Notamacropus eugenii: one gene and its partners. The protein of the gene in region 3 interacts with the protein of the main gene of each other region in a pairwise test. Links are inferred from orthologs where the notes say so. Each region holds a gene or a part of one and is shown on either strand. Other genes may lie near its edges. The genes, in order: actin, alpha cardiac muscle 1; myosin-7; MYBPC3.

Region 1 (9,831 bases), on a different chromosome or scaffold from region 3:
CTTGCTTCCAATCTTGGCTGCTGACAGATACCAGAGCTGGGCATTGGCCCAGGAAAGATCAGATCTCTCCTACAGTAGAGAATACATTTCCATGTAATGGATGCTAAATGTGAAGCCAATCAGTCACAGCTCACACTTTTAAATAATGAAGTAGAAAAAAATGACTTCAGTATACTTATCCATGACCACATCTTACCAACCACACCCGCCTTAAAGATTATAGTATCCTGTTTTTTGTATAATATGTGTCTTGTTTCACTACTGCAGAAAGGTTATGAACACTTTAGGTAGGAAAGACAAATAAAAACTACTTAGCAGCATTTTACTCTTTCTACTTAACCGTGAATCTTGTGAAGTAAAATATAAAAATGAATCTATTGATGCACATTTTGAAAAGAATGAAAATTTACTTTTGGAGTTTGCGTGGTACCTTTCACATTTGTAAGTAAATGTAAAATCTCTCTATTTCAGTTTGCAACATGTTGCAGGTTCTTGCCTATGATACGATGTGCCTTTGAAATAATAGGAGATTTGTTAAAGTTCTTATCATACTTAGGAGGACAACTGTCCTATAAACTCCTGGTGTTATTACTGTCTCATTCTCCACACATTTTCCAGGTATACTCTCATTAGTCCTATTAATGGTCCAGTAAGATAGGCTAGTCAATCAATCAACAAGTATTTAAGTACCTACTATGGGATGGATACTGGAAAAAATGGGATTATTTCCTTATTATATATGGAAAATAATAGAAAACTAAGTAAATTACCTTGTGCTGCAAGTTTTTCCAAATTTTCATAAAAGCTCTATTCACTAACCTAGATTGTCTCCTCAGTTAAGACAGAATATCTTTCATACCTGTGGTACGGCCAGATGCATACAAGGACAGCACTGCCTGGATTGCCACATACATGGCAGGGACATTGAAGGTCTCAAACATAATCTGAGTCATCTTCTCTCGGTTGGCTTTGGGATTCAGAGGGGCCTCAGTAAGCAGAGTGGGGTGCTCCTCTGGGGCTACACGAAGTTCATTGTAGAAGGTATGGTGCCAGATCTTTTCCATGTCATCCCAGTTGGTGATAATGCCATGCTCAATGGGGTACTTTAGGGTCAGGATACCTCTCTTGCTTTGAGCCTCATCACCTACATAGGAATCTTTCTGACCCATACCCACCATGACACCCTGTAGGGAGGAGAAAAGAGATGGGAAAACTGAAAAGTAAAGCTCCTTCTCTACCAACATTGATTAGTAGGCATCACTAACCAAGGCAAAAAGAGATGAAGTAGTTTGTGGTGGAAAGAATTCTAGATGAATTCAGAAGACTGGATTTACATCTTAGCTCTTAGTTTTACTGGCCTTGTAACTAGAAAAGACACAACTTCTTCAAATCTCAGCTTGATCAACTGTAAGATGGAGATAATACATGTACTATCTACTTGAGACTTTTTTTAGGAAAACATTTCATAAAGTGTCACATAAATGCAAGTCATTGTTAATAATAATACTATTTTGTGTATGTGTATATATGTATATGTATATATATATGTGTGTATATATATGTATATATGTTATATATGCTAAATAAGTGCAGAACTTATCTTCCCCACTATAGGAATGGATGAAGGAAACAAACTATAGAAAATCATTTCACTGAAGAAAACATAATAGGGACAGAACTACAGATATCACATAGTAATAGCTAGCATTTATGCAGCACTTTAAGGTTTGCAAAGTACTTTATGAATGTTATCTCATCCTCACAAAAGCCCTAGGAGATAGGTGCTACTATTATCCCCATTTTGCAGAAGAGAAAACTGGAGTTAAGTGACTCCAGGGTCACATGATTAATAAATGTCCCAGGCAGGATTTGAACTTATCCCCATTCCACACCTAGAGCTCTTGTCCACTGCTCCACCTAGATGCTACTAGGATATCTCTCATTTTGTAAATGAGGAAACTGTAATGAAGAGAGTTGAAGTGACTTGTTCAAGTTCCCATAGACAAAAATAGCAGAATTGTCATTCAAACTAAGGGAAATTATGTAAAAAGACTACTTTAATTCAAATGAATATATATACATATATGTAAATATATACATATATTTATACATGTGGGGGGGTATAAAACTTCCTTTATGAATGACACCTAAGGGGAAAAACTTTAGAATTCCCAGAAGGAATAAAAAATTACAAAGAGCTGGGCTATTATCACCCTAACAGTGAAATTTAATCTCCACAGAACCAATATAGCATTCATGTGTTATAAGAAGTTCTAACTAGACCAGCTTGGCAGCCTTGCCTGGTTGGCATGGTGCAGATACTCAGAGGGTGACATTTCTTGTAGTAAACAAGGTGGTATATTACTAGCACCATTTCAGTCACTTATTCAACGATGCCTGGATTTTTAAGAAGCCATAGTTAGAGATACGAGATATAACTGAGAGTTAGTACTCTCTTGAAGGAAGAAGGAAAATGGGGGTGCAGGCTGAAAGGAGTTTTATTTTTGTAGAATTCTGGTAAAAGACAGAAAAAGGAAGAGAAAGCAATGTATATGGGAAATGGAAAAGAAGCTACACTTTTGCCTGATAATTCCAGAGGGCATTCCAGTTGGGAGACAGTAGGTAATGGGTTAATACTTAGGAAATGGACTCCTTCCTGGTATATATCTATAGGGAGAGCCAGAGAAAGAACTTTAAGTTCACTGGGAGGATTTCAGTGAATCTGTTTTTGCTGGTGTTGATTTTGGTTTAAGTTTTTGCTTCCTTGGCCTTGGGACCAGTTAAGCCATCAAGGTTAGTTGGGAGGGTCAAAAGCCAGATTTGAAAGAAAGGAAGGAGATGTAGTGGAAAGAGCTCAGGATGTGGAGTCATGAACTCCCAGCCTCTGGCATTAGCTGTGTGGCCATAGGAAGTCTCTGAAACTCAGTTTGCTCAGCTGTAGTAAGTGTCTATCCCCAAGGGCTATTTTGAGGCTGAAATGAAATAGTTCACATAAAGTGCTTTTCAAACCTTCAAGTACTATACAAGATCATAGTTCTAGAGCTGAGCTGGATCTCTGAGGTTATCTAATCCAATCCTCTCATTTTGCTGATGAGGAAACTGAGACTGAGAGGTTAAAGTAACTTGGCCAGGGTCACATAGGTAATAAGAGGAAGAACTAGGATTTGAACCCAAAACCTCTGATTAAAAAACTCATACAAATGTCGAGCTATTTTGTTATCGTTCTTCTCCTTTTTGTTCTCGAAGACCAATGGCATCATGAGGGTGATGTCATTATTATTAAAGATACCGTGAGATGAGGGTGAGGAGGATCTGAGTAAGAGAAGAGGTATGGAGGTCAGAAGAGATGGGGGGAGGGGTTGCTGGTGGAGTAGAAGCTCCTCCAGGCTGCAGATTTGGATTAGAGATGAGTGCAAAGGTTACCTGGTGGCGGGGGCGGCCCACGATGGATGGGAAAACAGCACGGGGCGCATCATCGCCAGCAAAACCAGCTTTGACCAGCCCAGAGCCATTGTCGCAAACCAGAGCGGTGGTCTCCTCGTCGTCACACATCTTGCTGAGGTCTCAAGGAGTTCTGTGGGTGGAGGAGAGAGAGGGGAGGGTCACTCTCCAGAAAGTGAGATGGAGCTGGTGGGGGGTGTAGACATCAACCAAGGAGTTTCCCTGAAGGGGGGGGGGGGCTCTAGGGATAAAATAGGTGGGAGGGGGGCTGCATTTGGGCTCCCCAAAAGGAACCAAAAAAGCGATTGAATTGCAGGGGTGGGGCGTCTGAGAGAAAGAGGAGAGGAAAGCAAAGCAAGAGAGGATGAAAGACAAAGAACTGGATGAAAAAGCATTGGCTGGTGCTCGAGGAGAGGGTCACCCTTCCTTTCTGTGGGGTAACAAAAAGCTGTCAGGGACCAATGACAACTGTACTGAGCATTCCTCCGACTTCACTCCCTGGCGCCTGCCCTCAGCATCCCCAGTATCCCCATCCCCTGCTCCTGGACCAGATGCTGCATGGCCCTGGCTTAGGACAAAGCTCCTCTAACTCAGAGCCCACTCTTAGGCTGGGTCTTAGAGTCAGCCCATCCAGATTCCAGCCTGGGCTCTAGAAAGCTTGCTTTTCTCTATACGGGACGCAGGACGGTAGGCACCCCCAGCCGTCTATGCTCCCCAGTCCCGGTCTAGAATGGGAAACCGAGCAGCTTGCCAGACCCCTGCGCCCACTCAAGCTGAGAGAAGGCTGGGGAGTGGGGCGTGGGAGGGGTCGTTCCCAAAAGAACGAGAAAATAAAAGAAAACGAGAAATTCTCTGTCCATCCCCTATCCTATCTCCAACATCGCCCAAGTGGAAAGACCAAATAGGAAAGTCGGTACAAAGTCAAATACGTTTTTTTTTTTTCGGGAAGGGTCGCAGCAGGGAGAGAGACAGACAGAGAGAGAAGAAAACAGCAGAGAAAAGTAACTAAAAGGCGCCAGGAAGTCAAGCGTGCGTCCCCACTGCCCTGCTCACCCTCCCTCCCCAGCCCTCTGTCCCGAGCCTCTGGTGCTACTTGGATGGATGCGACGCTGCGCCAGGTTCTGCGCTGACTCACCAGTTCAGCACCCGCGGCTCCAGCTCCGGGGTAGGCAGACGCTTGGTGTCTGGGGCACGGCAGCCGCGCCGCTTTATACTGCTTTGATGGACGGTGTCAGTTGGGGCCGAGTGGGGCCAGGGGGTGGGGGGACCCAGGCTTGCCACCTTGCCCTTATTTGGTCGCCTTCACGCCATTAGGGAGCGCTGAGTCCATTCATGGAGCCAAAAGAAGGGGAGAGGCAGAACAGGGGGCCCCCAGACCATGTAAGGTAGGGGAGGGGGACAGTCAAGGGGATAGCCAAATAGGGAGTCCAGGGAGGGGTAGGAGAATGGGAGGAGGGGGAGGGGGAGGGAAGGTCACACATACCCTTTTCCTGGGGGATCACTGGAACGAGGGAGAAGGGTTTCTCATTGAATTTGGTTTGACTCTACAGAATCATAGATTTAAAGATGGAACAAACTTTAGAGGTCCTCTAGTTCAACACTTCATTTTACAAATGAGGAAACTGAGGTCCGCAGAGGTAAAATAACAAGGTTACAGTGGTGGTACCAGAATATTCAGGAAAGATCTCTTGCCCCAAACTTGGCACACTTGCCACCATGCCACTGTAAATTTTCAACCAGTCATAACTATGTAGCAGGGTTAAGGCCAATAAGTTATATACAGATGATTAAAGAAAGTCTGGCATGAGGTCCTCTTCTAGGAAAAACCTGGAAGCTGATCCATGTATGAAGAAAGTGGCCCCATCCTTCTGGTGTTCCTAAGCAAGAAATGGGGAAAGAGATAAAAGGTACGGTTTTCATGAACATTATAGTCTGGCACAATAAGGCCATTGAAAATCTGTATCTTCATGGCAAAGAGGCAGGTAGCTGGGTAGGAAGAACTACTGGGTTTCTGGAGATGAATAACCCTAGTGTCGCTATATACACTGCTGAGTGAAGATAGAAAAATAGAGCTGACTGCTTTGTGGTGAACAAAACCTCTTATTAATCAAATTTATCAGCTGTTATTGTACCCTATCACTAGAGGAGTGAGAGAGGAAGAAAGAGAATGAGTGATTGCAAGGTGGAGAGAATTTTCAAGTTTTGCTCAAGAAAGAAAAGCATTTATATTCCAACCCACAATTAATTAACTAGTTGAGCCCTAAGCCTATATCATACGTGAACTAGCTAGACTGTATTTGTGTGATTCCAGGGTCCTGGGAAGAGCTCGTCCCCCTATCTCTCTCTCCCCCCACCTCTGCCCCTGCAAATATTTCTCCCACCCATTCTCCGATGTTTGCTGGACATCTTTTAATGGTATAAAAAGCTTTCATTTCAGTTAGAGATGTCTTAAAATGTAAGTTCCCTTTGAGAAATGCAACACACTAACTTAAATTCACATGCAAGAAGACTGCCTTAGATCCTTTCTTGCTAAGAAGTTTCAGTGAGGATTTCAAAGAGAGGTTTTCGGTAAAGAAGGGTGTGAAAAGTTAAGGAAAGATCAACTTCATTCATAATTTTACCCAGCACTGATCCCCTTGGATCTATAAATCTTTAAAGGAGTTATATTTTGTTGTTTTGTTTATATGCAGTTTTCTTCTAGTCCATACCAGTTAAAAATAGAAGACCAGGCAGGCATCCCTCAGTGGAGTGGGCTTGGGAATGCTGAGGAGGCATTCAGAGTAGAGATATGGGTCCTAACTGAAAATATCTAAGGCCTGCCCCTTTTCTCCTCAACCATGTTTGGGTTGGTCTATGTAAGAAACAGATTAAGCCAACTTTGGTGTTGAGCTTGGCTTCTTTTCCTGGAAAAGACACCAGATGCTCATCTATTTGCATTCATATTACATGCAATGAGTATGTTATACAGGGTGTCCCAGAAGTCTTCAGTATGAATTCTGGGACACTGTGTATTTAAGGAAGGAGGAGTAGATGTAAAAGATTAGTTCTGCTTAACCATGTATACATGTAGACACAAGATGAAGTGAGGTTATAATCATGGTCATTCTTTCAGGCTCTATCAATTGGTCTTCCTTTTTTTAGAATTAAGACCATCTTCCCATTGCTTTATGGTATAGTGAAGCTACAGTTTGTTCACTTAGGACAGTAATAGAGCTTATTCCTCACTCCCATGATTTCCAATTGCAAAGTGCCCCTTAAGAAATCCCACACTGAGGTAAATAACATGGGTAGAAATGATGGCACCGTCTCCCCTTCTTGGGAGGCTCACTGGAAGCCTGTTCAGCAGCTTTTCAATCTTGTTACATAGAATCAACTAACCTAAAAATCTCCACCCAAGGAAGGACTAAAGGAGAGAGAGAGGAAGAAGGAAAAAGAATGATTGCAGGGGAGAGAATTTTCAAGTCTTGCTCGAAAAAGAGAGCAGTTATATTCCAACCTACAATTAACTAACTAGTTGAACCCTAAGCCTATACCATATGTGAACTAGACAGACTGTATTTATGTGATTCCAGGGTCCTGGGAAGAACCCATCTCCTTAACTCCCCTCTCCCACGCCCCCCAAATATCTATCAATTCCTCTTCCTTTTGTAGAATAGGCCCCAGGAGGTGACGTAGAAGACCACTGGAAGATACCAGATAGATTATAGGATCACATTTAGGGCTAAATGTTCTTATTTACTTGTTTGGGTCCTCAGTGCTTAGCACAGCACCTGGCATATTAGTAAGTGCTTTATATAGTTCAGCTGCCTCATTTAACAGATAAGGAAACCAAGGCCCCTGAACGGTTTAAAGTGACTTCACACAATTAGTCACACAATTAGTAACTGGCAAAACTAATATTTCAACCCAGGTCCTTTGACTCCAAATCCATTGCTCTAGGAGTGTCGGAGACCTTTCAGATGACCCCAAACTGGTCCAAATCACCTGGAAAAGAACAGAACTTTGACCCTTTGGCCTCCCCATACCTCTGTGAATAAGAGAGTAGAATGTCCTTTATCTGCACATGTACAGAAATTTGCTGAATGCTGCCTGTATCATCCTAGGTTAGATCCAATGTTCTTCTGTGACTACAAAAGCCAAAGGCCCTACATTCAGAATGTCCAGAAGACTGTAGTGCTGAAGTCAGGCCCTTTGCAGTGATAATGTGGTGAACATGCCAGGGGGCAGAGCTAAGTAGCAAAAAGAGGCAATGCCTCTTCGGATCCCTGTTTTTATTCTCTGATTAGAAGAAGTCCACATCAACCATCTATAGGGAACAGAAAGAATCATAATAATATTTATAGAGTCCATTCAGATTTGCTTAAAATAAAATATTAAATAAATATTGAATATAAATATTAAAGAAAATATTAATAGAAAATAAAATAGACTTAGATATTTTATCCTATTTGATCCTCACAATAACTCTATGAAGTAGGTGCCATTATGATCTTCATTTGACAGATGAGGAAACTGAGGCTGAAAAGTTCATTGACCTGCCCAGTTAGTAAGTGAAATAGAATTTGAAATCAGGTCTTTCTGACTCCAAGTCTAGTAGTCTCTACTACAGCACCAATAGAATGGACTGATAGATTAACAGTCACTTATCTCAGCTGTTCCTGCTTTCAGAGGTGCCACAGTATTTACATAGAAGCTGGTAACTGATAGCCCTGGTTGAATTCCTCTCCAATCAGACTCTCCCAGTCACATCCTGCATTCCCCTGACTGAGGGAGAAAGACTCCTGGGTCCAGATTGCCAGAGGGAGGAGGGGGGAGACAGCCCTCCCGAACAGGGACAGCTGATGTCCTTCACACACGTGTTTCTTTTTATTTCCTTCAGTTGGCATGTCCCCACTCACCAGTGCCCTCTGGCTGGAGCTGGTTTTTCACTTGAATTGAAAGAAGAAAGTGTGTGTAGGAATGGGAGTGGGGGTGGGGGAAAAGCACAGAGGGGAGGTCACATCATGAAACTGAGAATTCAATACCAAGGGACTGGCATTCTCTGAATATATTTTCCCACATTTTACGTGCAGCCCCCAAAGAGGCTGAGCACTAGGGAGAGCATTCCAAACGCAAATGGTTGTCTTCCCAGATAGCACATTCCTGTGGTCACTGTCATTTGACATGTTGGGGCCAACTGCAATCAGCTATTTACTAAGACTCAGAAAGAGGGGCTTAGAGGGGTGGGACAAAGAGAGGGAGAGAAGAGAGAGAGAGAGAGAGAGAGAGAGAGAGAGAGAGAGAGAGAGAGAGAGAGAGAGAGAGAGAGAGAGAGAGAGAGAGAGTCAAGATTCCAAAGTAGGTTGAGTCCAATTCCAGTTACTTCCTGGCTATTACCCTCTACCCTTTCAGGAGTCAGAGTCAACACACAGGGATTTCTAGGTAGTGTCCTAATTCCTTAAAAGGAGCTTGTCCTTCAGGAATGTTTCAAGAGCTAAAAAGCTCACAGGTTTGCTCCTTAATTTAGTAAGCTTCCTCTCTAGCTCAGACTTAACTGACTACCATGCTGGCAGTCATTTTATGTATGGAATTTCCATTTTTTGAGGGTTACCTGCAGCAACCCTACCTTTCTTGGACAGCCCAAGCTTGGTGTTAGCCTGCCCAGGTTTGTGTGTAACACCTTATTTACAATGAACAGAAGCATTAGAATGAACCAAAGCAATCAGTTGTCAATTCAGTGGGTGCTACCTCATGAGTTGGGAGGTTCTGGTGTTTTCAATGCCTTTGCTGACACAGGTAACCAATCAATTTTTAGGTACCAACTATGTGCCAGCCACAGTGCTAAATGATGGGAATAAAAAGAAAGGTTAGAAACAGTCAAGAAACTCACAAGCTAATGGAAGAGACAAAATGCAAACAGCTGGGTACCAACAGAGACACACACACACATGCATATATATACATATGTATGTGCATATACATACATACATATATACACACACATACACATGTACATCCATACACATATGTATGTGCATATATACATATATGTATATATATGATAAATTGAAGATAATGTTAAAAGGAAGGAACTGTCATTGAGAGAGACCAGGGAAGACTGCAAACGTATAGCAGCCAGAAGATCACCGTACTCAGTACTGTGATACTGCCTCAATACATTTCCCCCCACGTCTGTAATGTACTCTCTTCTTCCTTTTGTCTCTTAGGATACCTAGTCTCCTTCAAGACTCAGATCAAACATTGCCTTTTATGTGAAGCCCTTCATCTTTCCCAGTTCCTCGTGCCCTCTTCTGCCAAATCTCCTTGTATCTATTTTGCATATATATATATATATATATATATATATATATATATATATATATATATATAGAGAGAGAGAGAGAGAGAGAG
Region 2 (9,831 bases), on a different chromosome or scaffold from region 3:
AGAGCCCAGAGTAGGTCTGCAGCCAAGAGAGAGAGACAGAGAGAAAGGTCAGAGATTGTGGGGTCAGGGAGGGGAAAAGAAGACTCAGATTCAGAAATGGGAAACGCGCACACAGAGTCTCTTTTTTGTTTCTATCTCTTTATGTCTCTGTGCCTTTTTCTGTATCTCTGTACTTCTCTGTCCCTGTCCCTCTGTGTTTGTTTCCCTGTCTGTCTCTGTTTCTGTGTGTCTCTCTCAGCTCTGTCTTCTCTCTTTGGGTCTCTTTTTCCATGTCTCTGTCTCTCTGTCTCCCTGTTTCTCAGTCTTCTTTCTGTCTGTCTGTGACTGTATCTCTTTATCTGTCCTTGTCCTTATGTGTCTCCTCTATCTCTCTCTTCAAACAAGAGTGCCACACGTATATAAAAGGATTCAAAGACAGGAAAAGGAGCAAAATGCTGAGTTCACTGAAAAAGGGAAAATGATGCCTGCCAAGAGGATAGAATTCAACCAAAAGGTAATGATATGTAATCTAAACAAGTGATAGCATCTGGACATAGAGCACAGAAACATCTGGGTCTCAAAGGGTAAAAAGAGTATAGATCAGAATGAAAATTTCTGAATTCAGCATGTTCAGCAAGCAGTTATGGGGTGTTGACAATGTGCAAGTCACTACATTAGATGCTGAGGGAGACAGATAAAAGGATGAATGGGTTTTTGCCTTCAAAGAATTCACAACCCAGTAGGGGAAAAAGATATATGCAAATAACTATAATACACAATTGGACATAATAAGTTCATGAGAGATTTACAAAGTGTTAAAAGATTTTATTTTTAGGAAAGAGAACTTCTAGCTAGGAGAACAGGGCAAGTTTTATGGAGGAGATGACATTTGAACTGAGATTTGAAGAGTGGGTAGGATTTCAACAGATGGAGGTGGGATGGAGGCATATAGGGAATGGTATAAACAAAGGCATGGAAACTGGAAATGATAATTAATAATGACAACTAACATTTCTCTAGTGATTTAAGGCTTGAAAATATTTCTATATGTTATCTTATTTGATTTTGGTAATGATCTTTTGAAATAGAATCTATTTTATAGGTGGAAAATCCAGGCTGCAAAGGACTTGCCCATGGTCACACAGCTAGTAAGTGTTTGAGATAGAATTTGAACTCCAATCACCTTGATCCCAAGTTCAACACTTTTTACTCCTAGAAAGTATGAGATGTGTTTGTAAATACATGAATAACTTAGTTTGGCTGGAGTATGGGATACAGCTGGAAAAATTAGACTTGTGGCCAGATTGTATAAAGCCTTAAATGCCAGGCCAAGAAGCTTGAGTTGGATTTATCGGGCAATGTGGAGCTACTGAAGCTTTTGGAATGCAGGAGAGATATGGTCAGAGTTGTCCTTTAGGAGGATTAATTTGACAGTGATGTGCTGAAAGGGAGTGATATCAGAGCAGGGAGGCTAATAAAGAGACTATTATAACAGTTCAGGCAAGAGACAATCAGATCCTGAATTAGGGTGGTGGTGACAGTGGGATAGAAGGAAGGGACAGGTGGGAGAGTCTGCAGATAGAATTAATAATGATAGTGCCAAGGATGATGCCACTTTCCATTGTGGAGAGGGGTTGGTATGCAGAAAATAACTCTAGAGGGAACCATGAGGGCTAGTTCTGGAATGGGGCACTCACATAGATCATCCAGGAGGCATATCGGTCCTTGAGGTTGTACAGCACTGCGGGCTCATGCAGGAAGGTCAGCATAGCCATATCCTCAATCTTGTCAAACTTGGGTGGGTTCTGCTGCATGACCTGGTCTTCTTTCACTGTCACTGTCTACAAGAGATCCCACCCCAGTTTTGCCATCATGAGATTACACTTTCCTGATTCATCCTTTCCATACTCTTGGAAAAATATTAGGAGTTAAAGTTAATTGGGGAAAGGATGGATAAGGATTGCTGAGAGGACTGGAGATGGTTGGAAGAGGGGGTCAGATCTTTTGAAGGGAGGTGGAGGACAAGGTAGTTGGAGGGAGGGAAAACCAAGATCTCCAAGGGAGAAGGGATGTTTGAGGTTAGGGATTATTCCAGTGAAAGTGGGGTAGTATAGATCCCTGAGACAAGGGAATAATGGGGGACCTTTGGGTTCATGGGGTGTGACCTTGGTTATATTCAACACAGCCTACCCATGTTTGGACCTCTGACCATCCCTACCCACTCTGTGACCCACCTTGCCATGCTCTGTCTCAGCGGTGATTTTGCCCCCTTCCCGAGACAGAATCTTGGCTTTGACAAACTCTTCCTTGTCATCAGGCACAAAGACATCCTTCTTGAGGTCAAAGGGCCTGGTTTGTGCTTCTAGCCGCTCCTTCTCCGACTTGCGAAGGAACGGGGCGGCTGCCCCAAATGCGGACATCTCAGCATCACCCATGGCTATGCCTGAGTGGGGAAAAAACAGAGTGATCTCCCTATCTCCTCCTTCTCCTTTTCAGTCTCTGCAACCAGATTAAACCCCATGGAACAACTCCTATTTCCTCAATCTACCTTTCCTGTAGAGGGGCAACCAAGCAACTCTAGCAGCAAAGGAAAATGAAGTAGAGGATATTTGTTCAGACTGGAGACACCCCCATTAGGGAGATCTGCTGGTGCTTTGGGTCTGAATTGTGTGGATTGGAGGGTTTCTCTAGGTATGTCCCTTTCCCCTTCCCTCATTTTATCCTTCATTGGTGCACTCTCTATGGTTTCCAAGTCACTGTCTGGAGATCCCCTGTAGAAGCAGGGAGAAGTAAAAACTCCCTAACTTCCCAAGCTTGGGGCTGCTGAACTCAACCTCTCCCTCTCTTTCTCTCATATCTTATCATTTCAATAGCTCTCTTTCAACCATTTACCTTGGCTTCTCCTCAGAGGAGTCTACAGGAGAGGAGGGAAGAACACACGCCTGCTGGAAAGCAGAAAGGAAATGTCAGGGGATGGGAACAAGAAGACCCTCACCCCACAACCTGGCAATCCCATCATCTTTGCCTTTCTCTGGCCCTAGCAGTCACTTTCTTTCAGTCTGGTTATGCTCAGGAGCCTGTGTGATCCCTTCTTTTCTTCTCTTCCCCCAGACATCATACCCTTGAGATCAAAGCTTTAGTCACAAAAGTAGTAAATTGGTTTCCTGAAGGTGGTTATGCCTGGAGTCTTAATCTCCTTTACTTCCTCGGACACCAATTTGGGAGATAATCTCCCTCTTGCCCAAAGGGCTTTTCCATGCATTTGTTCACAGTTTATAGAAAGTGGGACTAGTAATGAATAACTCTAATTTTCATAAACTACTGGAATTATCAGTCTCACTCAGCTAGAAAAACACCTAGGACATGTGAAAGTGATTGATCTTTGGATGCATCCATCTGGTCAGGGGATACACCACACACCATGTATCCCCAGCCGGATACACCCATCATACCTACCCATCACACACACACCTCCTTACAGGGGCTGTCTCTCTCTCTCTCTCTCTCTCTCTCTCTCTCTCTCTCTCTCTCTCTCTCTCTCTCTCTCTCTCTCTCTCTCTCTCTTCCTCTCTCTCTCTCTCACACACACACGCACGCACACACACACGCACGCACACATACACACATACCCATTTCAAACACATACACACACTTTCTAATAAATACCTGTACCTCCAAAATGTACAGCAAAGGCAGTGTGGTATAGAGATAGCTAGGTGCTCAGTCGATAGTGCTCAGAACTTGAGGTCAGGAAGACCTGAGTCCAACTCCTACCTTAGACACTTACTAGCTATGGGACCCTGGACAAATTAACCTCTCTGTACCTCAGTTTCCTCATTTATAAAATGGGAAAATAGTAGCACCTACTTTACAGGATTATTATGAAGATCAAAGAAGTTAACATACATAAAACACTTTGCAAACTTTACAGTATTATAGAAATAATAGCTATTATTATATGTGGCCAGCCCTGGAGCAAGCAAGACCTGAATTCAAGTGCTACCTTTGATTCATTCTAGCTGTGTGAACCTGAGCGGATCCTCAACCTCTTAGTGCTCTAGGGAAGGCTCTAGCTGCTCTTGCTGATCTCCATCAGTGAAAGGAGTTCCTCCCACACCAAGGAAATCACAGGTCTGGACTCTATCCCTTCCAAACATGCTCACAAAGGACAGTGCTGGATTTGTAGCAAGGAAAAGAGTTCAAATACCAATCAGTTGTGTCATCTTGGGCAAGTCACTTAGTTACCTTGTCTCTCAGTTCCCTCATCTGTTAAAAGGGAGCAAAAATATTTGTGATGACTAATTCCCGAGGATGCTGTGGGGAAAGTTCTTTACCTATCATCGTCATCATCATCATGACAGCTCCTGTATTTATATTGCTTTAAGATTTACAAAGCACTTCACCCACAACACTGGGAGCCAGCGAATACATGAATTATTATCCTTTTTTAAAAAAAAAATACAGAAAATGAGGCACAGAGAAATTAAATGACTTATTCAGGGTTGTATAGCTCATAAATGTTACGCAAGTCATAAGGTCATGGGATTTAGAGCTGGAAAGGACCTTAAAGATCATCTCATCTAAGCTTCTCCTTTTTTCAGATAAGGAAACTGAGGCCTAAAGAAGCTTGGTGACTTTACCAACAGCACGTAAGCAGTAAGTAGCAGAAATGAGGGTCAAACCCAAATATTCTGACTCCAAATCTAGGGTCTTTCCTTTGATCCAGGCTTTCTGACTCCAAGACCAGTATTCCATTTACGTACATGTTCATATATATGTATGTATATATACACACACATACACACAAATACGTCTATATGTGAATTCCACTTGCACGCGTATGCGGATGTCATCAGGTGTACATATGTGCTCAGGGATGTAGATCTATGTCTGAATCTATGTATATATCTCAATATAGATCTACATTCCTGAGTGCATGTCATCCATTCATACATGCATGTGGAATTCATTCTTAGGTTTACACATAATACTCAGGCTCACAGATGTACATTATACATACCCGGACACGTTTTTATGCGTCCCATACTTTCAGGTGCTCAACAAGTGGTATAAATTATATAAAATCTCATTCTCCACGCTATCCTGACTTCCACTAAATGGGCGTGGGTGGGTGGATTACGCCTATAGAGACACGTGTTCATAAATACCCTTCTCTAATATGATTTATCATGACATGGACCCACAAATTTATAGAAATGCAATTTCCTGTGCCATGTTCACTCACATTACATATCTGATACGTACCATGCAGGTTACCAGGAGCATAACTTTCTCAGAAACCTCTTTCCACAAGCTCACAATCCCCTCAAAAACACACACACATACACATACACACACATGCACACACACAGCCCTCTTCATCACAACTAAGGCCCCATATAACCAATATGTAATAAATATATCCCCCTATACATTTGCCTTCACCTTTCAGGTACACCTGCACAGGTGCACAGACCCATAGAGATAACTAGACCTATCCCTCCCTAAGCCAATCATTTCCCTGCGAGCACCGTCTGCCCCCTCCCAATCCATGCTGTCCCAGGCACAGCAGAGGGAGGTCATAGGCTCACCACTCCTACCTGAGATTAGCAAGTCAGAGAGAGGGAGAGAGAGAGAGAGACAAGGAGAGAAGAATGTGGAAGCAGCACTGGTCTCAGGGCCCTTATATATGGAACTGAAGGGTGCTCCCACCCCCACCCGCACCCCGTCCCCAGCCGGATTTAGAAAGAGTTGTTGTCACCAGAAGCATTTCCCCCAGTCCCCTTCCCCCCCCCCCTTTCTAAGCAACTCCCTCCTCTCCCCCCCATGGAGGCATAGGAAACAATTGGAAGTGGTCGTCATTGTTATGGCACGGAGATCTCGCAGGGTCTGAGTTCCAGAGGGCGGGGGTGCTCCAAATGGAGCAAAAAATATCTCCCTGGACAAGCCTCACATTCCACAGCTGGCAGGAGTATGGAGCCCACCAAAAGGGAGAGAGAAAAAGCAGACCCTCCCAAACCCTCCCCTGGGGGCTCCAGGCCCGGGACCTCCTGCCATTCCTAGCCCATCGAGCCCCCAGCTCCGTCGCTACCCCCCTTGGTTCCCACTGCAGCCTTCCTGATCCACATTCCTGGGCCCTTCTTCCAACTTCATGGCTTGGGCATGGGGCACTGAGTGTCAGAAGCCAGTCGAGACTGCTGGTAGAGCTCTGAAGTGGTCCAGCCTTTCTGGACAAAAATTTCCAAGTATATTAGAAAGATGTTCAAGTGCACATACTCTGTGACCCACCCATACCACTGTTAGGCATTTCCCAGGGGGAGGGAAAGCCCATGTATACATGAAAATTTATAGTAATTCTTTTTGTGGAGTTGGAAGCAAAATGGGTGCCCACTGGTTGGCAAATAGCTGAACAAAGTGTGGCATATGAATGTAACAGAATAGTGGTATACAATAAAGGAAAGAGGAATACGCATTTATATAGCACCTACTAGTTTAAACACATTATCTCACTTGAATCTGGGGAGAAGGAAATTGAGCATGGAATGAATGAGAAGGAAATCAGGCACCTACTAAGTGCTAAGTACTGTGCTAACTGCTTTTCAAATATCATCTCATCTGGCCCTCCTGTGAGGTGGGTGCTATTATTACCCTCATTTTCCAGTTGAATAAACTAAGGCACACAGAAGCTAAATGACTTGGCCAGGATCACATGTCTGAAGCTGAATTTGAACTCAGGTATTCCTGACTTCAGGCACACCTCTCCATCCACTGTACCAAGCTTGTTGGCCCTATGGGTTTTTTCTCTTTTTGTTTTTTTATACAGAAAAAAACCCACATTGAAAGTGAAATCGGAGGAAATTTGGGAAGACTTATACTGACCGAGAGTGAAAAACGCAGAACCAGAGAAGAATTTATGCGGTGACTTCAACGTAAAAAGAAACAACATCAAAAGACATCTTTTTTTTACACAATCCCTTTTCTTGCCCTTTTGTATGTGATATATTTCTTTTTGTTAATTTTGTGAACTTTTGTTAATTTTGTTAATTTAAATTAATAATTTTGTTAATTAACAAATTTGTTAATTTGTTAATAAGTTCACAACATTTTTAAAAATTAGATGAAATAAATGGGGAAAAAATAAAATGTAAGAAATTTGAATGCAGTGACTAGTCCTGACTTTAGAGTGTTAATTATACTTCCAGCCACCTGACAATGATGGGGATTGAGATGCAGAATAAGGTACAGCTTGCCCGACATGGCCAGCACATAGATTTACTTTGTTTAACTACGCTTTTTGTTAGGAGGGTGAACTCTGTTGGGGAAGAGAAAGGGAAGAGAATGAGCATTTAGGAAGTGCCCACTATGTGTGTTTTACAGATAATGGGAAGTGATGATGTAAAACAATTTTTAGAAATTTAAATGATTGAGGAGTCGAGGCAGGAGCAGAAGAGGGCTGGAGGGGGAAAAGAAGGGGAAAGAGATGGCAAAGGATAAAGTCTAGAAGGTGACATCTAGAAAGTGTGAAGTTCTAGAAAGGATGTTACATCGGAAATATAGACAAGGGAACTGTCTCTGCCCCTGACTTCTTTAAACTATTGAGTTACTTTATAGAGGCTTGTAGAATTTCAGAGCTGCAAAGGACTTTAGCTAGCAGATCTTTCCATAGTCCTTTTATGGCTCACAAAATGCTTTACCCGCTTCACTCTGATTTTCACAAGACCTGTGCTTGTAGTGCTACCTTCATTTTACAGATGAAGGAACCAAGGTCTAGGAAGGATAAATGATTCAATGAAGTTTACATCTGAGCTCATTAGTGGTGGCAATGGGACTAGAATCCAGGTTTCTGGGCTCCTCGTCTGGATACCTGTCCCCACTACAACTAACCTCTCCAAATCTCAGTTTCTCCTTTTGTTATCCAAGAAGCCTCCAGTTCCCCAACTATGACACCTTAGGGTTGTACAGGTGAGTTTTAGCAGATCTCTCCATCAAAGTTTCTGCTGCTCATCCTGCTTCTTAACAAGGATATTGACTCTTAAGTCAAAAAGAAGGCTGGTGATGCAAAGACCAATGCTCCCCTCTCCAAAGGATAGCAGCCAGTTTGTGTTTGTGGATGAGGGTTAGGAAGGCAGCCAGCCCATCTGTACAGAGCTGGGCAGAAACTTAACACTTTAGTTCTAGCCTTGACTATGTTGTTAATTAGCTGTATGATCTTGGGCAAATGACAGTCACATTGGGCTTTAGTTTCATCACATGAAGTCCAACTGGATTGGACTTCATGGTTCCATGTCGCCATGATTCTACATCATGATCTTCCATAGAGTTGGGATTGTAAGGGCAAGGTGACTCTGTGTCAAGAGGACTTCTGAGGTCCCTTTCAGCACTCTATCTATGGTCCAATATTTCGGATGGCTAATTTGAAAGCCTTCTTCCCTGAACACATCTTTCCATCTGGTGTGGATTGTCATTTGAATAACTTGATATCCCTCTGGATATCAGAGAGAACTAATCTAGAGAAGAGGTAGCATTCAGTTTCCTCATCATCTTCCATCATTCCATAAAATGGAAACCATATTACTTGCACTATTAGCTTCACAGTATTGTTGGGTGAATCTAGTTTGCTCTGCCAGTGACATATACACTAGGAAAGATTCCAGTAGTCCTGAACTGAGCCCTGCAAAGACTGTTTGCAGAAAAGTCAAATACATTAGAGAAGATACCCAGGGATTCCAAAGGCAGGACTGAACGCACAGTTTTCCTTCTGTCCCTTTCAGTCTCCAAATACAGGTGACCTCCCTCCTTGATGTCTCCAAGCCTGAGGTACAGGTCACTGAGATGTCCAAGAGACGATGCTCAGATGATAGTATATTCATTTCATTTTATTTTTTAGATTTAAGGTTTATTTCCTTATAATCACAAGTGATAGTTTAGAAGGTTGGAGACAAAATAGAAAATCCTATAAAGAGAGCTATATAAACCTATGAACCTATATGCTAGAAACCCACCTGAAACACCACCACTCTGCACCCATCAGGGGCCGATCTTGTCTTCAAGTATGCTGGTCACTGGAGCAAGAGTCAAGAACCTGAAACTGACTAATGTGTTCATTTTAAACCCAATGTCCTAATTTTGGGCATCATTATTTACAGTTTATTCAACAGAGCTCCATCAAACTTTATTTGTTCAACCTAGATTTGTAGTTTTAATTCTTTGTTTTGGAGCTACAAGTTTGCTGGGGCAGGCAGGAAAAGAAAAGGGCTTCTCACTTGTGCTTCCTGATTAATCTCAGTGCCCTGGGGACTGATCACATTGGGGATAGCAGGGACTTTCTAGGAGTCATTAAATCTAGATTTCACCTACACCATCCCAGACAGCTGGAAGTCTCTGCTGTCCTTAAAGACCCCCACAAGACCCCTCACACACCTGCTCTGATGTTTCACACCCCTGCTTGTCAGGGAAATCTTCCCTTTTTTCAGTAGCTGTCCAGGCTGAATAATTTTACAAATCTTTTGGAGAACCTAAACTCTGGGGATAAACCTAGAGCTACTGGCTACAAGCCATACCAGGGTATTTAGGAACCACTTTCCAGGCAAGAATAGGCTTGCAGATATGGGGTAAAGAGAAAGAGGGCTTGCGTGGGCAGGGGGGAAGGGGAAGAGTCGTGGATAAGAACAAAAGAGAGAATATGGCTACAAATGGCTATAAATAAAAAGGAGCAGAAGGGAGGGTCACCCAGCTGAGGAAAGCCAAATAAGGCTTGGAGTAGAAGGAAGGTGAATCTGGGCATCCTCACCCCTCCTCCCTGAATTGTGCCTGCTTTGTCTGGGCTCTGTGTCACCAACCCAGAGATCAAAT
Region 3 (9,831 bases):
CCCTGCCCTCTGTCCCTCCCCTTTTCTGCTTCTTGTGTGTCATCTTCCTTTTTAGATGGTAAGATCCCTGTGGGCAAAGGACCATCTTTCTTTTTAGCCACTGTATTCAGTTTAGCCCAATGCCTGACACTGGAACCTTAATAAATGCTGAAGATTATATTGGATTGGATGAACCAGACCCCACCCTCAGGATATTTGCTTGCATTCTACCTGGGGGCATCAATAACAATGTAATATTATTAATAACTCCCACTTCTACTTAAATAACCCCATCTCAGAAAAGGAAATCGAACAAACCATCAATGAACTCCCTAGGAAAAAATCTCCAGGGCCAGATGGATTTACAAGTGATTTCTATCAAACATTTAAAGAACACTTAATTCCAATACTATACAGACAATTTGGGAAAACTGCCGAAGGAGTCTTCCCAAATTCTTTCTATGATACAAATATGGTTTTGATACCCAAACCAGGAAGAGACAAAACAGAGAAAGAAAACTGTAGACCAATTTCTCTAATGAATATAGATGCAAAAATTTTAAATAAAATTTTAGCAGAAGAATATACCAACTTATCATGAGAATAATACATTATGATCAGGAAGGATTCATACTAGGAATGCAGGGCTGGTTCAATATTAGAAAAACTATCAGCATTATTGATCATATCAACAACAAAACTGACAGAAATCACATGATTATCTCCCTAGATGCAGAAAAAGATTTTGACAAACTACAGCCCCCATTCCTACTGAAAACATTGGAAAGCATAGGAATAAATGGAACTCTCCATAAAATAATAAGCAGTATCTACCAAAAACCATCAGCAAGCATTATATGCAACAGGGACAAGATAAATGCATTTCCAGTAAGATCAGGGGTGAAACAAGGATGTCCATTATCACCATTGTTATTCAATGTGGTGTTAGAAATGTTATCTGTAGCAATAAGAGAAGAAAAAGAAATTGAAGGAATTAGAATAGGCAAAGAAGAAACTAAGTTATCACTCTTTGCAGATGATGTGATGCTATATTTAGAGAATCCTAGAGAATCAAATAAAAAAGCTACTTGAAATAATAAACAACTTTGGCAACATTGCAGGTTACAAAATAAACCCAAATAAATCATCTGCATTTCTATATATTACTAACAAAGCCCAACAGCAAGAGATAGAAAGAGAAATCCCATTTAAAGCTAGGGTAGACACTATAAAATATCTGGGAGTCTACCTGCCAAAACAAACCCAGGGACTATATGAACACAATTACAAAACACTTTTCTCACAAATAAAGTCAGATCTAAGTAAGTGGAAAAACATCAGTTGCTTCTGGGTAGGCCAAGCTAATATAATAAAAATGATAATTCTATCTAAATTAATTTAGTTATTCAATGCCATACCAATGAAATTACCAGATAATTATTTTCTAGAGCTAGAAAAAATAATATCAAAATTCAACTGGAAGAACAAAAGATCTAGAATATCAAGGGAACTAATGAAATTAAATGCTAGGGAAGGTGGTCGAGCCCTACCAGATCTCAAATTGTATTATAAAGCAGCAATAACCAAAACCACTTGGTACTGGCCAAGAAACAGAGGGATAGGCCAGTGGAATAGGTTAGGTACTCAAGACACAGTAGTTAAAGAATATAGCAATCTACTTGGGTTTGATAAACCCAAGGACCCCGGGTTCTGGGATAAGAACTCACTGACTGACAAAAATTGCTGGGAAAACTGGACAACAGTGTGGTGGAAACTGGGCATAGACCAATGCTTGATACCGTATACAAGGATAAAGTCCAAATAGATACATGGTCTAGGTATAAAGATTGATATTATAAACAAATTAGAGGAGCAAGGAATAGTGTATGTGTCAGATTTATGGAGAAGGGAGAAATTTACGACCCAACAAGAGATAGAGAACATTATGAAGTACAAAATGGATAATGTTGATTACATTAAATTAAAAAGTTTTTGCACAAATAAACCCAAAGCAACCAAGATTAGGAGGGAAGCAGAAAACTGGGAAAGAATTTTTGCAACTAGTGTCTATGATAAAGGCCTCATTTCTAAAATATATTGAGAACTAAGTCAAATGCACAAGAATATGTCATTCCCCAACTGAAAAATGGTCAAAGGATATGAACAGGGAATTTTCAGAGGAAGAAATTAAAATTATCTATAATCATATGAAAAACTCTAAATCACTATTGATTAGAGAGATACAAATCAAAACAACTCCGAGGCATCACATCACACCTACCAGACTGGTTAACATGACAAAACAGGAAGATGATAAATGTTGGAGAAGATGTGGGAGATTTGGAACACTCATTCATTGTTGGTGGAGCTGTGAGCTGATCCAACCATTCTGGAGAGCAATTTGGAACTATGCCCAAAGGGCTACAAAAATGTGCATACCCTTTGACTCTTTCCTAAAGAGATCATAGAAATGGGAAAGGGTCCCACACATACAAAAATATTTATAGCAGCTCTCTTTGTGGTGGCCAAAAACTGGAAACCAAGGGAATGCCCATCCATTGGAGAATAGCTGAATAAGTTGTGGTATAGGAATGTAATGGAATACTATTGTGCTGTAAGAAATGATGAACAGGAAGATTTCAGAGAGGCCTGGAAGGACTTGTATGATCTGATGCTGAGTGAAAGGTTCAGAACCAGGAGAACTTTGTACACAGCAACAACCACAGTGTACGGGGAATTTTTCTGGTAGACTTAGTCCTTCATTAAAATGCATGGACTTTAAAAAATTTCCAATGGGCTCTTGAGGCAAAATGCCTTCCACATCCAGAGAAAGAACTATGGAATTGCATCCCAGATAGAAACAGACAGTTTTCTTTTGTATTACATTTTGTTTTGTTTTGTGTTATAGTTTCTTTAATTCATTTTAATTCTTCTATGCAACATGCATTTAATAGGAAAGTATGTGTAGAATCTATATAAGATTGTACGTCGTCTCAGGGAGGGAGCAGAGAGGGACAGGAGAAGGAGGGGGAGGAAGTAGAAAAAATCTAAGATATATGGAAGTGATTGTTGAACACTGAAAACAAATAAAATAATTCAATTAAAAAATAACTCCCATTTCTGTCATGCTTTTAAGTTTTGCAAAGCACTTTCCTCACAACAACACCATGAGGTAGGTTGTAAAATGTTTATTAACCTCATTTTATAATTAAGGGAACAGGATTTCAGAGATGACTCAACTTCCCTCCAGTCATACAGGTACTGGTAAAGCAGGCATCTATGGAGCCTAGAGCTGGATGAAACCTCAAGGGCCATCTTGTCCAATCCCCTCATTTTACAAATAAGGAAACTGAGGCCTAGAGTGGCTACACTCATCACAGGCAGGATTTCAATCCAAGTCCTTTGACTCCAGAGGCTGGTGTTTCCCCACTGTGTCACATTCTGATGAACCCTGGTTTCCAGGCCGAAGGGCCAGGGCACCTTCCCACCATATCTGACTGCCTTCACATCCTGGGCTTGTGACCACAGGATTGTACCACCCCTGCCTTGTCCTTGTGCTCTACAGTATGACCCTGACCTTAATGTTGAGGGCTGTGGGAATCTCTAGGGGCCTGGGAGTGCCCTGAATGGGACAGAGAGAAGGACGAGATAGAGGGCATGTGTGGGGGGAGGGTAAATGACACCAGCCAATTCAACAGAATCTCTTTGGGGGCTCAGCTAGGTCTAGTTCCCATTAGGTGGGTGCTGGGGAAGAGGGAGAAGCAATGAGCTGCAGGGTGGTAGGGGGGGTCCAAGTCACTGACCTCAGAGAGGAGGCTCTCCCTTAGGAGAGAGAGGTCATTTGGCCTTTAGCTGGGCTTTGGCCGCATTCCTTCACTGGCCCTGTTTCTATCTCCCCACTATAGGAGGGGGCTCTCTCTGCTCCCTGGAATTTGTCTATATTTAGTTCTTACAAGAGCCCATAGCTGATAAGGAGCCCCTGGTGATAAAGCTGGGGGAGGACAGGAAGGTAGGGGGCGGGCAGTGATTTATAGGACCAGAGACACTGGTGATCTCACTCCGTCTCTCTGCTCCCTGCTCCTTTGGTCAGTGTTGGTGGTGGGTACCCAGGTGCCAGAAGACTTCCTCAGGATGCCAGAGCTGGCAAAGAAAGCAGGTAAAGATACCTGGGGATGAGAGGATGAGTGGGGATGGGGCAGGAGAAAGCAGTGGATTTAGGGATGAGGGCCAAATTGGGGCTGGTCAGGGAGAACAGTGCTGGAATCCCGGTGGGGATCAGAGGCCCTGCTACCCTAGAGAAGGGTAAGGGGCCTGAGACCAATTCTCCCTGCTGGCTGGCCTAAGGAGTGAGCTGGGAGGGTTTGAGGCAAAAGAAAGGGCCAGGGGTCTGGCCACCATGACAGAACGTAGGGTGGTGGATGTTGTCCAGCTTGGGATGGATTTGGAGTCACAAGGACCAAGGTTCACATACTGGCTTTGAAACTTACAGCCTGTGTGACCCTGGGCAAGTCCATTTCTTTCTCTAAGCCACAATTTCCTCATCTGTTAAATGAGGGGCCAGCCAAATTAGAGGGTCTCTAAGGACCCCAGAAGCTGTGACCAGCATCCTAGAATCCTATGAATCCAGGCTCTCTCAGCTACTACCAGTGTGACCTTGGGCAAATCACTTCATCTCTGTGGACTTCAGTTTTCTTATCTGTATAATGAGAAGTTGAACCTGAAGGCTTTCATTGTCCTTTCCATTTATAACAGAATATAACTTTCCAGGAGAAGGCAGCCCCCAAGAGAGGGAGGGCTCTTTTTTTTTTTTTTGCTCTGCCCATTCTGGTCTCTTCCCCAATGCCATAGAGGTTCTTGGAATAGGGATGGGGTCTGAGAACCCCTTCTTGGAGGTACAACAGAGAGCCCTAACTTTGGAGTTCCCTTGGTCCCTCACCTCTTACCTTCTGGGGGGGGCTACAAATCCCAGGCTCATTTTCCTGTCAGTTTCCTCACTCCCCACTCCTCGAATTTTCTCCCCTCCAAGGTCACCCAACAACAGGACAACTGAACCAGGTATCCATCTCCTGGCACCTGTCTTTGGCCGCTTCCCCTCCCCATCCCCAAAGCCTTATCACAGCTGCTTGTTATCAGGCTGAGGCCCAGAGAGATAAATTTAGCCAAATACCAGGCAGGGTCAGAATTCTCCTCATTTCCTCCTCCCTCTCTCTCCTTGTCCCTTCCCCCAGCCCAGAGCCCAAGAAACAAAGAGACTGATACTGGCATGAAGAATAGGGTTGTATTAGGGTAGTGGGCAGCCAGGTGGCCCAGTGGATAGGGCCATGGACCTTGAGTCAGGAAGATCTGAGTTCAACTCTGGCCTCAGACGTTAGCTGTATGACCCTGGGCGGGTCACTTCACCCTGTTTGCCTCAGTTTCCTCATCTGTAAAATGAGCTGGAGAAAGAAATGCCAAACCACTCTGGTATCTTTGTCAAGAAAACCCCAAATGGGGCCATGAAGAGTTAGATGCTACTGAAAGGACGGAACAACAACACATTAAGATAAGAGGATGATCCTCATTTCACCTTCACAGTCACCACTGTTCAGCTGCCTTGGCCACCATGGGACTCCTGGGGGGAGGGAGATGATTGCCAGGGTGCCTGAGGGGAGGCATCAGTCAGAGGGGTTCTGGGCTGGGCTTGGAGGAAGGAGAATGCTGGGACATATCGCGGCTATACCAGGGGCAGGGCAGGAAGCCCTCCAAGGTGCACTGGGGGAAATCACCCCAGTGTAGGAGAATCATGGGATCCTAGGTCTGGAAAAGACCAGAAAGCCCTCTGCCGCTACACCCACGAGTCAACCTCCCCCTTCCCATCTGAATCTAACACTTTCTCTCCCGACTCTGAGCAAGAAGTGAAGAGTCAGGAAATGGAGAGAACTCGATTCCTGCCTAGAATCTGGCTAAATGTACGGATAACGAGTCAGGGAAGGGGAGACAAGGCTGGAACTGCTCTAGGAGTTGGGGGTATTGAGGGATCAGTTGGGGGGACAACTGGGGGGCTTCCTAAAGCTGAATGAAGTTGAACCTAAAGTTGAACCTCAACTGCTCCTCAGTTTCAGCATTTAGCAAGAAACCCAAAACAGCTGAGGCAGCCGTGGGCAGTTCTGCCTTATTTGAAGCCGAGACCGAGCGGGCAGGCCTCAAGCTACGCTGGCAGAGGGCTGGCAGTGACATTGCAGCCAGTGACAAGTACGTGCTGATGTCAGAGGGCACCAGGCACACTCTGACCGTGCGGGACGTGGGGCCTGATGATCAGGGGCAGTATGCAGCCATCGCAGGCTCTTCCAAGGTCAAGTTTGAACTCAAGGTCAAAGAAGCAGGTCTGTGGCCTTCCAATCGTTCCCTCTCATGCCTCAGAGTGCAGGTACCCTCAGGGGCAAGGGTGGGTCTCCTTCCTCCACTTGGGCACCTGCCCTTTCTGAGTCCCATGGCTCAGTCTTTGCCAAAAGGACAAGCTGAACCTAGGGGCTTCCTGGAATCCAGCCTGGGGCAGCCTCTGGAAACTACCCCTGGAAAAGAGATTTAACCTCTCAGTGTCTGGGCCACTCTCTATGATGCTAAGTTACAGAGAAAATACCAACTTGCATTGGCAGAGAGAGTTTTCTCATTCTGAAGTATCATATACCAATGAATTCAACAGGTTCAGGTACTATACTTATTCCTCCTGTATAGAAGGTGTTGCTTGGTATTGAGGATATAAAGAAAAGAGCCTCAGCCCTCAAAGAGATGACATTCTACTGGGAAGGAATGATAGGTAATATGCCCAGATAAAGAAATGTAAGGTAATTTAAGGGCAGTGAGGATACTAACAAGTAGAGAGATCAGGAAAAACTTCATGGAGGAAAAGATACCTTAGCTGAGCCTTGAAGGAACATTCCAGTCAGAGAAGAAGACTTGTACGTATTTATGTAATAAGAAAGGAGATGTTGGAACACAGAACAGGTATGATTATAGAAAATAATGTAAAATAAGGCTTGAAAGGCAGGTGGAAGCCTATCGTGGAGAACTTAAAATTTCAAGCTAAAGAGTTTGTATTTTATCCTACAGGGAATAAGGAGCCACTGAAGGCTATTGAGCAGAGGAGTAAAATTCTTAATAATTGCAAAAATGCAAATATATGATTATTTCAATAAGTGCCTCTGACAATAATAGCACTCATTTTTTGTTTTTAAGGCAGAGGAAAAATAGCCCATTTTGTGACAAGATAAGTACTCCGTATCTAAAATCAAGTGGCAGCATTATTAGTGGTAGACAAACTCCAGAAGCTTTAGCACTAAACTGAGAATCGGAGCAAGGCTGCCTCTTGTCATTCCTATCACTTGATCTGGTTCTAAAAATGCTAACTGCAGCAAGAAGACAAAAAAAATTACAGGATCCAGTAAAGGTGGGAAGGAGGCAAAATTCTCTCAGTCCGCGGGGGATATGATGGATTGCTTAAAGAACACTGGACGTTCAGTGGAAAATTAATTGGAAGCCCTGGTAACTTTAGTAAAGTAGCAGGTTAATAACAGTCCTGCAGAATCGTCAGCTTTTCTGCGTCTGACTGATAAAAGCCAGCAGGAGCAAGGGGAACATTTATTTATTTTTGTACATGTTATTGCTGAGTTGTTTTTCAGTCATTTCTGACTCTCTGTAACCCCATTTGGCGTCTTCTTGGCAAAGACACTAGAGTGGTTTGCCTTTTCCTTTTCCAGCTCATTTTATAGATGAGGAAACTGAGGCAGAGAGGCTTAAGTGACTTGCCCAGGGTCATACAGCTAGTAAGTGTCTGAGGCCAGATTTGAACTCAGATCTCTGACTCCAGATCTGACTTTCTCTTCACTGTGCCACCTACCTGCCCCCCTAAACCTATATTTAGGAAGATCACTTGGGCACAGTTTGGATCATAGATTTAGAACTGGAAATTTTCTTAAGGATCAGCTAATCTCCATTTGACAGGGGGAGAAATTAAATCTCAGAGAAAAGGTTGCGCTTGAGCAGGACCATACATTTCGTAGCTTCAGAGACAGTTCCCAGAGCTCCAAAGCCAAGTCTCTTCGCTGCTATGCCAGGGTATCTAGGCAGGTGGTGGCTAAGGGCCAGACTTGGACTATGAATAATCCGAGTCTGAATCCTTTCTGAGGTGCTTACTTACTGTGCGACAAGGGGAAAGTCATCTGATTTCTCCCTGCTTCTGTCTCTTTATGTGTAAAATGGGAAGAGTAAAAGCACTTCTCTCCCAAGGTTTCTGTGAGAATCAGGTAACACACGTACGACGCTTTACACACCTTAGTGTTATATAAATATTATTATTATCACCAGCACTCTGGTATTTAGAAGGAGGGGTGACCAAGGAGACCAGGGACAAGGCCAGTGTAGTCTAAATGAGAAGTGATGAAAGCCTAAGCTAGGGCAGTGGCTGTGGAAATGAAAGGGAGCCTTGACAGGCTTTGGTTTGCAGGGCAGGAAAGATTCAAAGCTGACTTGAAAGTGCTGGGATGGGGGGGTAGAGAAGGGAAGACAGGTGGGTTTACGTGAGTCCGATGGGCTCGTGAAATATCCACGTAGAAGTAGCCCGTGACTTCTGGGAACATGGGGGGGGTGGGGTGGAATCCATTAAATATCTCCTTATTCTGATCCCACCCAGAAAAGCCTGACCTGGTTCCAGCCCCTCCTGAAGCACCTTTGCCCTCTAAGCCCCCTTCCCCAAGTGATGCTCCCACTACAGGGTCTGAAGGATGCTCTCCAAACAGTGAAGGTGAGAGAGGACCTGAGGGCAGGGGCCAGGGTAGGAAGAGGCTTTTGAAGTTAAAAAGTGGCAGTGATCCATTTGCTGGAATCTCTTCTAGCCACCTCTGGAGCTGTTTCTGGTGACCCCATTGGCCTCTTTGTGACCCGGCCCCAAGATGGCGAGGTGACTGTGGGTGAGTGCTTATGGGGCCATTGCTCATTGACCTCCACTAACTTCTTTTAATAGCACATTGTGGCCAGAGTTCTAACCAGGCATTTTAGCAGCTGAGGCAGGTTTGGGTGAAATGGGGCTGAGGAGGCAGGGGGAAGGGAGGGAAAGGTGGGTTGGCTCTGGGGAGGCAGAGCGGAGGCAGATGTCAAGAGAGGTAGAGGAACTGGCAGACAGAGGCTGGAGCAGAGATAGCTGTCAGATGAGTGCGGAGCTTATAGAAAAAGAGGGAGAGTGACCCTAACATGAAAGCACCAGGAGTTAGGCAGGATGGAGTGACCTTCAAAGGAGAAGGGGCTGCTGAGTGAAGGTGGCAGGAGGGAGCAAGGATTAAGACCACTCATCCTCCTGGTCCTGCATGCAGGGGTCAGGAGGTGAGGTGAAGCACCTTCAAAGGTTGACCTTCAGTGAGGCCAAAGATGGGAGGTAATTGAGAGGACAGTATGATACTGTAAACAGTGCTGGGCCTAAAGACGGGAAGACCTGAGTTTGAATCCTGACTTAGCCTCTTACAATTTTGGTAATCCTGAGCCAGTCACTTAACCTTTCTAAGTCTCAGTTTCCCCATCTGTAAAAATGGGCATAATAACTTTTTGTTTGTTTTTGTTTTCAGTTTTCAACAATCACTTCCATAAGTTTTAAATTTTTCTCCCCCTCCCTCTACCCTCCCTTCCCATGATAGCATGCTGCAATCTAATATAGGTTCTACACTTATATTCTTATTAAATACAATTTCACATTAGTGATGTTGCATAGAAAAATTAAAACAAATGGGAGAAACCATGAGAAAAACCAAACCACACTAAAACATAACACAAGAGAAAATATCCTGCTTTGTTCTGCGTTCCGATTCCATAGTTCTTTCTCTGGCT

What was found.
Region 1: the proteins of MYBPC3 (region 3) and actin, alpha cardiac muscle 1 interact in a two-hybrid assay, tested with the Homo sapiens proteins (2 studies listed by IntAct). The link is inferred for Notamacropus eugenii from reciprocal best matches to the Homo sapiens genes MYBPC3 and ACTC1.
Region 2: the proteins of MYBPC3 (region 3) and myosin-7 interact in a two-hybrid assay, tested with the Homo sapiens proteins (2 studies listed by IntAct). The link is inferred for Notamacropus eugenii from reciprocal best matches to the Homo sapiens genes MYBPC3 and MYH7.

What each region holds. Positions count from the first base shown.
Region 1 is NC_092878.1:19,590,898-19,600,728, forward strand, and holds the start of actin, alpha cardiac muscle 1, read right to left. Parts: upstream 4,770-9,831; 5' UTR 4,577-4,769; intron 3,575-4,576; 5' UTR 3,553-3,574; coding exon 3,424-3,552; intron 1,185-3,423; coding exon 860-1,184; intron 1-859. UniProt on the Homo sapiens protein: Actins are highly conserved proteins that are involved in various types of cell motility and are ubiquitously expressed in all eukaryotic cells.
Region 2 is NC_092878.1:9,698,171-9,708,001, reverse strand, and holds the start of myosin-7, read right to left. Parts: upstream 5,641-9,831; 5' UTR 5,580-5,640; intron 4,636-5,579; exon of another isoform or gene 4,581-4,635; intron 4,111-4,580; exon of another isoform or gene 3,999-4,110; intron 3,529-3,998; exon of another isoform or gene 2,925-3,528; 5' UTR 2,872-2,924; intron 2,671-2,871; exon of another isoform or gene 2,476-2,670; intron 2,436-2,475; exon of another isoform or gene 2,423-2,435; 5' UTR 2,415-2,422; coding exon 2,214-2,414; intron 1,821-2,213; coding exon 1,677-1,820; intron 1,128-1,676; exon of another isoform or gene 1,068-1,127; intron 494-1,067; exon of another isoform or gene 17-493; coding exon 1-16. UniProt on the Homo sapiens protein: Myosins are actin-based motor molecules with ATPase activity essential for muscle contraction. Forms regular bipolar thick filaments that, together with actin thin filaments, constitute the fundamental contractile unit of skeletal and cardiac muscle.
Region 3 is NC_092877.1:3,635,139-3,644,969, forward strand, and holds the start of MYBPC3 (myosin-binding protein C, cardiac-type), read left to right. Parts: upstream 1-4,028; 5' UTR 4,029-4,110; coding exon 4,111-4,135; intron 4,136-6,074; coding exon 6,075-6,341; intron 6,342-8,647; coding exon 8,648-8,758; intron 8,759-8,849; coding exon 8,850-8,924; intron 8,925-9,831. UniProt on the Homo sapiens protein: Thick filament-associated protein located in the crossbridge region of vertebrate striated muscle a bands. In vitro it binds MHC, F-actin and native thin filaments, and modifies the activity of actin-activated myosin ATPase.